Solanum lycopersicum: one gene and its partner. The protein of the gene in region 2 interacts with the protein of the main gene of each other region in a pairwise test. Links are inferred from orthologs where the notes say so. Each region holds a gene or a part of one and is shown on either strand. Other genes may lie near its edges.

Region 1 (4,371 bases), on a different chromosome or scaffold from region 2:
GATGGAAAGAACCACCACACAATGTTGCTAGCCTCAGTCACTTATATTCATATCCCAGACTAGATGATATTTCAGATTGGATGTTTTCTACTTACTCACACCAAAGACCCATAGTCCAAGTGCAGAATTAAGCAATAATATGCAGAAGCTCTGTATTCAGATATGAAAATTTACCAACAGACTAAAAGGGCATCAAACACAAATAGAGAAGTAAAGAGACTCACAGTGGGCCGCTTCGATCGTCTATAAACTTGTTCAAGGGTTTCCAATTGAACTTTCTTTAGTCTCTTTTGAGCAGACCAGTTACTTTGCATCACATGAACTGGCGTTTCCACCTTAGCATCTGGCTTCACAGCATCACTCATCTCGATGGGAACAGTCTCCAGGGGTTTGCTTGCAGCCTCTAACATTCTGGGAACAGGTTCATCAGGTAAGGCAGCACTCAGTAACACAAGATTTGGTGGAGGATTGCGAAGCATTTCAAGAACAACAGCTCTATCAAGGCATAGGTCAGCAGCAAGATTCTTTATCTGGACGGGAAGGGTAAATATAAGTTCTAACTTATCACCACTAGACATATTATCTTTAAATAGGTAGTAGCGGTTAGAAGAAGCAGTTTCATTTTCTGCTCTTCTAATTCTGCTACAGGTTCTGAAACTTCCAATCTATACTTATGATGAGTTTATCTAGCAGAAAGCTGAATACCAAATGAAAAATAATCAATAATAAGCTTCCGGTGTAAATAATATAGTTTTCACAAACTAACGTCAAGAATTCAATGCAAGCCAAAAGCAGATGTCCAGCTATATGCTACAAAAACGACGGAATCTGAAGAATGGGAATACATAGGAAAGATGAGATAAGCAGAGGTAAATTTTGCCCAAGCATTAGAAAACTTCAGACACATGGATAGATACCACAAATGATCTTAGTACCATATGCTTAATGCTGGAATGCGCAAAGAGCCAGAGTACAACCAAAGTGGCCTTAAAACTTATGAGTCGTGAGAAGCTGTAATATAATTGCGGTATCTGAATTTGAGAAGACTAGATTAAGACTGCAGCTTACATTTAACTTACGCCGTCCCTTTTTCAAGGCATATGCCAGTTTCTTAAGTTGCCAATTTTTCAATTTCACTAGCATATCTACATCTTCATCATCATCATCTCCATTGGCATCTTCTGCTACTGCTTCTTCATCTTTAGCCATACTACTTTCAGTGTTCTCATTGGCAATTGAGTCAATTTCTCCTAGTAGTTCATCATCCTTCAGTGCTTCCTCCAATTCACGTTCAAGCTTCGCAAGGTCCTCCTCAGTTATATCATCATCGTCCAAGGATAGCTCATCATTTTTCAGATCTTCTTCCAGCAGCTGAAAGAGTGCCTCAAAAGCATCTTCATCTATATCACCAACTTCCTCCGTATCTTTCCTAGGTGGACTCTAAACAGGAAGCAAACAGAGCCTCGGGTTTAGTAAACAATAGTAAAAGCTGTGAAATACAATAATTGAGCTGTAAAGAAGAGGTTATTGATGATATCAAAGTTCGTGAGCAAGTATGTCCAATAAAGCAAAACAAAGATATGTTTCTAAAAAACTTCTAGTCGAGGAAAATAGTTTGAATATTCAAGTGAAAGATCTCAAAAAAACAAAGCACATTAAAAATCATGTACATTCAGAAGGCCAACTAAAAGGAGATTATAATCCACATCCCAGAAAAGATAAGACAGGAAGGAATTCCATCAGCCTAAGAAAGGTTTCTTGATGGACATTAACGTGCACTAGAAGAAGTTCATGGGTCAGGCTTCACTTTGATGGATATTCACATGTACCAGAATAAAATAGCTGCAGAAAATCTAAACCAACTCGTCAACTGTAAAAGTTATAAAGTTACTGTTACATGTATGGATTGGAAAATCACTACTCTATACAATTACACGGAAAAGATTTGTCTCCTGGTATTGACCCTTATACTAAAAGCAGAAGGGCAGTAGATCAAGCAGGTCAAAACTATTTGGCATAATTACAAAAACAAAGAAATTTGTAAACCATCTTGTCAACTGTAAAACCTACAAAGTAACACTGGACAAGTAAGTTGACTGGAGCAACAACTGCTGTTGAAATACGAGCCAACAAGGTGCAATTTCTTTCTGATGTTAAACAAAAACAAAAAGTCACAGCAATGTACGACACTTTTCTTTGCTCTATTCAACTACATCAATAGGTATTAACTTGGTACTACCTAAAACAAACATATAAATCAGAATTGCTCGTGTCTAGTCCACCAGGGGTGCCACCATCAATCATCCCTTAACTATGTTTGCCAAGCATAACTTACTTACAGATACAAGCACATTAAAGTTTCAAATGATCAAGTAAATAACAAATTCATAAACAACAACCTATTTCAGAAAACACAAGAAAATTGCTCAATGGGAACCATGGGAAGGGAATCAGTAGGAAACAAAATTTAGGCTCGAATTTTTAGCATACTACCAGATTAGAAAACTTTCATAAACTTCAATTTCTTTTCAATTCTAACTTAATATTTCATACCTTCTCTATGAAAAACTAATTCTAAAAAGAACTATCCTAAGTTCTTCATGTGTACTTATTATTATTTTTTTTAAAAAAAGAATTGCTCTGCTCAAATACTCTAATCCCTAGTAAAGGCATTTTCATTCTTGCCCTTCTTCAATTTTCCCTCCTTCCCACCCACAAGATAATCTAAAAGAATAACATCTACCCCTTTAAATATCAAAATAAATGTATAAATAAAACTGGTTTTTACAAAGGTAGTACCTTTTTCTTTTTGTTGGAAGAAGTGATAGCAGAATTGTTTCGACGGCGAGAGAAAGTAACAAGACGAGAGGAATAAGAATGAAATAGCAAGGCGATGTTAGTTCTGCTTCTGGGATGAACCAACATGAGATGTTCATTGCTGGAACATCCAAGTCTAATGGAAATGCCCAGAGTTGTGGAAGAAGACGCCATTCTCTACTTTCTCAAATTCTTCAAGGCCTATCTCAATTCTATTCAAAGGGTTTAAACAAGTTAATAATGGTAGAGATAAATTACTTCACAACAACTTTTAACTATTTATCAATTAAATAAACGAAAAAATAAGCTAAAAGTATCTTAAAGACTAACTTTCATATATTGCAAACATAAAATTCATTGTCATATATTATAGCTATACTTTACGTAATTACATTCCATAGCAAACATAAATATGTATATTTTGCTATACATATAAAAAAATAAAATTGAATAATTCGTTATACATATACAAAGAAATCATTTGTATAATTCGCGATACATATACAAAGAAACTAGTTGTATAATTCGTTATACATATACAAAAGAAAGCAGTTGCATACAAAAGATCAATTGTATAATTTGTATGTATAAAACGAGAAAGAAAGAAAGACAAAAGAAAATTGGGAAGATGAATATTTGTATTGTATAATTATAAGTGTATAGGACATATATATATATATATATATATATACAATTTTCTCTCACTTTATACGAACACAAACAAATTTTATACATTTGTGCTTGTATACAGTGAGAGGGAGCGAGTGAGAGAAGGAGAGTGGCAAGTGAGAGTTTGAGGGAGAGAGGCGACTGACAAACATTTTACTATAGGGCACAACTAAATTAAAGTGTAGTTATAGCATTTAATTTGAATTATTAGTTTGTCAGTATATATAATTTTTTCTTAAAAATTCAAGACAAGTGGGCCCTTTTTTTTTACATTCTTTTTAGTTTTTAATATTAATAGAAGGACTAAACTAATAGCATCTTTGTTGTCTGGACAACTATTCAAGTTGTCAAACGACTAAAGACGTTGTACCGACAATTATGATAGTTGTCGGACGACAAAAGAAGTTGTCTGACAACTACGACAATTATTGGACTAAAGTATTAAAGTGAAAAGTTTGGGACTATTGTAAAAACATCGTTTAACCTAATATATATTATTTGTCTCTTCTACCTAATTTTTAGTACTTGAAGGACTCCTACCTAATTAACAAACCAGTTTGTGCATTTTAATAAAAATTCCCTAAATAAACCCGATAAATGGGCTCCACTTAATTTTTTTCTAGGAAAACTACCTAACTACACATACATTACTATCATATTGCAACGACTGGATTCCATCTTTATAGAAATGCCAATGAAAAAAAAATTGTGATCGAAAAAACTTTTCATAGTATTTGAATTTTTTCCAACCTTATCCAAATTTGAACGAAATTAGAGTACTTGAGGTATAGGGAAATACGCTAGCAATCTAATAATTTAATTATGATTTTGATTGCATAAGTGATTAGATAACTCGCTAAGGAATTCGTACGGCTTTACAAAATT
Region 2 (4,454 bases):
CGCTGAGTGTTTAATTTTCCCTTTAATTTAATGTGCATTCACCGACTTACCTTTGAACATTTCCTCTGGGCTTGGCTATTAGACACGACCTGGAGTAAACCAAAGAGGTGCTTTTGATGTCAGCAAAGGATCTAATTCAGTTAAAGGTGGCATGGAACTTGGAAGGTTGGTGTCTTCCACTCTTCACAAGCGGCTAATGCTTTTTCACCTGTGACAGGATGTACTTACGAGGGTGGACTCCCTATAATATGATTTGTACGAAAAAATTCCCTGTCTAGATTTACCAAATGGTCATTATAGACTTGGAGAAAAGATATGTAAGATTATCTAGAAGCCTGAGTAGAAATTTCTTGGTTGTATTCATCAGCTTGTTGCATTTTTCTATTGCTTGCAGTGGAAGCAGATCTGCCATTGTGACCAATACTACTGTGAAGATCATGGTTCCTGAAAACATCATCGGCTGTGTGTATGGGGAGGACGGGAGCAACTTGACTCGTTTAAGACAGGTATGTTGTCCCTTTCCCTTTATTAATTAGTTTTGTGGAAGGTACATGGGATTTTTAAACTCATATTTCTTCGTACTTCCATTCATTTTTGTGCTGGTGATTGATCTTTCTGAGGAACTGAATCAGATTTCAGGAGCTAGGGTCATGGTACATGAGCCCCGTCCTGGAACAACTGACAGGATTATCGTGATCTCTGGGACCCCAGATGAAACCCAGGCAGCTCAGTCTCTTCTTCAGGCATTCATACTGACTGAATAACCGTGAACTTAACAAAGAGGATCCCAATTTTGTATACTGAACTAGTACAGTTAGAACTATGTCAACAGCCAAGTACACTTTTTATTTTGTATACTATGTTGTGATGAGTCTGATGTTTGTTTATTTTTAGATAGGGTATTAAACATTAGTTTTTTGGTCTTTAATATGTTAGGAAATAAGAAATTAACTTGGTATTTATCCAATTTGACTATGCCGTCAACATGAGCAGAAGTTTTTTCTTACATTTGAAAGGGGATTGATTAGTTGACATCTTTATTTGCTTGCATCTGATAATCTTATAACAACTAGAGAAACTTTTAACTACTTTTATTTTGCATAGTAATGTAGGCCTGAGATGAGTTTAGAGTGGAGAAACATGGTCATTATTGATTAATATAGTTTGTGTTTCCAATATTAAATTTTGATTTCATTTATTGAATAAATTAATACAGTTCGTCGTATGACATATGAAAAATGACAACAAGGATGACATTACAATTCCTTGATTTGGTTCAATTAAGAAGCCTGATCTATGCCCTAGGAAATAAACTATGGTAATACGGCTTGAGTGTTATCACGCGTTTAAGCTAGCTTTTGCTTTGATTTAATTATTTATTTTTTGATAAATATATATTTTTTCATATATAAATGATACATATATTGCAAATTTAATTTGACTTATCTTTTATTTTCAAGTCAAAATAAATGAAAGTAACGATACTATCTTTAAAAAAAATTAAATGATGTTCATCATTTGGAACAATGGTTTGTTTACATGGACGAAACTCTTGTTGTCGACCCCATTTTTGGGGCTTAAGGATTCGGGTTTGTTTGGATATGGCTAAAGCTTATGGAGCTAGATTTGTTGGATCATAGTAGCTGTGTGGGGGTAATAACGTCTTTTAGTATTTTTATTTTTTAGAAAATATAAATCAACGACGTCAAAAATGGCAGAAGCAAATCGCAGAGCTAACATGTACGGACGGGAGACGATGAACGCTGCACTTCACCAAGATAGACACCAGCAAACTCAGATCGACGACGACGATGATGACGACGTCGTCGCTGCTGTCGGTGGCGGTGGCAGTGGTGGGGGAGGAATAGAGTCTATGGACAACCCTACTCCTCACATTCGCTACGACCAACATCATCACTCTCATTCTCACGCGCTTCACAACGGCGGCGCCGGCGGTTCTATGGAGATGAATGGTGTGGAAGGTGTTTCTCATAACGCCTTGTATGGTCCTCCTTCCGAAATTGTTCCTACTGCTGGTAGTGGAGCTTCCGATCAGCTTACGCTGTCGTTTCAAGGCGAAGTGTACGTTTTTGATGCCGTTTCACCTGAAAAGGTATTTCTTTTACTTTGACCTCTCTTTTTGTGCTTACTAAAAATGTTTGCCCTCTAATTTGTGCATCTTGCTCGTTCTTGTGTAGTGTGTTCTTTTATAAGTTTAGCTGAAAAGGTGTTTCTTTTAATTAGCGAGATTGGTCTGCATTTAATTTTTTTGTGTTGCTTGGATTCTTGCTTTTTTTGTGTCTGTCTACAAGAGATTGAGTGACTTAGGGGGAAGGATTTTCAATTTTAGAGATGGGGATAATTCTGTATTTGGCCAAAAGTTCTTGCCTCACTCTCACTCGACTTTTGGAGTTGTTGAGGTATTTCAAGACTCCGAAACTGGTCGTTTCTGAGATTAGATTGTATTTGATTGGCGAATTGGTTAGTGTGTACGGTGAATTGTTTGATATTGATCAAATTATGAAGCAAAGAGGCCATGCTGATCTTTTTTATCTTCCACGAGTAAGAGTGATTCTCACTGGCACGATTTTAGTATCACTGTAATTAAAATCTATGCACCGATGCTGAGTGAGGGGTTATCGCTCATAGGTGAAGTCATGCACTTCATAGAAGTGTTAAAAATGATGCACAGAGTGATCCAAATAAGAAGTCGTTGATGCTCTGAATCTCAACTTAGAAGAGTAAGATTTATGGATACTGAAATTAGTTCGTTTTATTGCAATCTGATCGTTACAGTGCTAAATTCACATACTTAAGAATTTTTTTTGACGTTGAGAATTGTGTGTTTCACTTCAAATGTGTGTGCTGTTTACTTCTCACTTTTCGCTTCAAGCTCCATGGTCCTTATTGCTTTTTTTTGCTCTTTTAGAAAAACTGTTTAGTATATGTATCAGGTAGTGGAATTTGATTCACAATTAGTGGATTTAAAACTTCATTTTGATATTTACAATAATCTTAATAGGGGTAAATTCTGTTTTTATGTTTATTGAGTTTTAGGTTCAGGCGGTGCTGTTACTGTTGGGGGGATACGAAGTCCCTCCTGGTATCCCTGCTGTAAATGTGGTTCCCCAAAGTCAGAGGGTATTCATCTTTATCTTCCCCTTACATTTTTTTACCAGACTGGTGGTTTATAATCAGTTATGGCACTTCCGCGGCAATATTCACAGGCTTCAGGTGACTTTCCTGGAAGATTAAATCAACCGGAAAGAGCTGCTTCTTTAAATCGTTTTAGGGAAAAGAGGAAAGAACGGTGTTTTGATAAAAAGATCCGCTATACTGTGCGGAAGGAAGTTGCGATGAGGTAATAAAACTGTAGTTTTTAATGCATGATGTTGTTTTGTCTGCTTGTTTGAACCATATTCGGAACTAGGTGGAGATAATGTGCAAATTGATGTCTGTTGCGATAGATGTCCCATCTGTAATTGTCCATTCGCTGTGCTAATGATTGATAGGACTAATTCACCCTTCTAAATTAAGTTGACAATAAGAGTAGGAAAGACATTTGCAAATTGTTATACACGAGGGGCGTCTAGCTCTGCGGCAGATGCTTTATATCAGCTTTATGCATTGCTTGAACTATTTGACTGGAATGGTGTAGGAGGTGTTTTGAAGGCAAAAGGAGCATTTATCTTAAAGCAACATTATTTTCAACTGGCTGACCTGCTGGACTTGGCGAATGCTACGAGTCAACTCCAACTTTTTGTAATTTTCTACAGAATTACCTGAAAAAGTAAAAAAGAGTGGAGTATGTCATGACTGAAATATGGCAGGATCACCTGAGGTGCATCTTACTTTATCTTTAAAAAGCAGAGTGCCCCCGAGCTGCACACACTTATTTCATATCTAAGACATTGTTTGAATGTGAATATGTAATTTCTAAATGACCTGACTGCTAAAAAACAGTTGCCGTGAGACAAAATTCTCACTTCCTCTTTACCTTAGGTTTGTGTATAAGAAAAGGTCAACTACAGCATTTTAAGGAATGAGGTAGAACTAACTAAAGAATGCTATAGCGAGGACATTGTAGTGCACTAGGTTGACATTGGAAATATAATAGGATAATTAGTGGTGAAAACATTATCCTATAAGAGGGAAGGGAGGTGTAATAGTATTTAAAGGATGAGACATGACCTCCTACTGAGCGCCTTATATTCTATCAATGCAAATGTCCCATAGTTTTGTGGACTTCGGAGCATTGGTACAACTGGCGCTAAAGTAGTGCACTTCATTATATGAAAACTTGAAATTATTGTCCCCCAATCCTTGCTCTAGTGATAAGAACACAGTCTGTGATGTGGGGGTTAGGCGCACTCCACAAATTTAACCCTACCACAAACAAAAGTGTGGTATTTAAATGGAGAATGGTAAATGCGCAGGCCTCTTTCCACCGAGTT

Evidence for each region.
Region 1: the proteins of GATA transcription factor 24 (region 2) and protein OVEREXPRESSOR OF CATIONIC PEROXIDASE 3 interact in binary tests that used the Arabidopsis thaliana proteins (3 or more experiments, as listed by UniProt). The link is inferred for Solanum lycopersicum from reciprocal best matches to the Arabidopsis thaliana genes ZML1 and OCP3.

The regions. Positions count from the first base shown.
Region 1 is NC_090807.1:48,217,297-48,221,667, forward strand, and holds the start of protein OVEREXPRESSOR OF CATIONIC PEROXIDASE 3, read right to left. Parts: upstream 3,106-4,371; 5' UTR 2,992-3,105; coding exon 2,800-2,991; intron 1,441-2,799; coding exon 1,069-1,440; intron 531-1,068; coding exon 225-530; intron 1-224. UniProt on the Arabidopsis thaliana protein: May modulate chromatin structure by regulation of nucleosome assembly/disassembly.
Region 2 is NC_090800.1:90,035,911-90,040,364, forward strand, and holds the start of GATA transcription factor 24, read left to right. Parts: upstream 1-1,520; 5' UTR 1,521-1,711; coding exon 1,712-2,113; intron 2,114-3,057; coding exon 3,058-3,141; intron 3,142-3,227; coding exon 3,228-3,361; intron 3,362-4,454. Other genes in the region: KH domain-containing protein HEN4, read left to right, coding at 83-165, 395-506, 633-764. UniProt on the Arabidopsis thaliana protein: Transcriptional activator that specifically binds 5'-GATA-3' or 5'-GAT-3' motifs within gene promoters.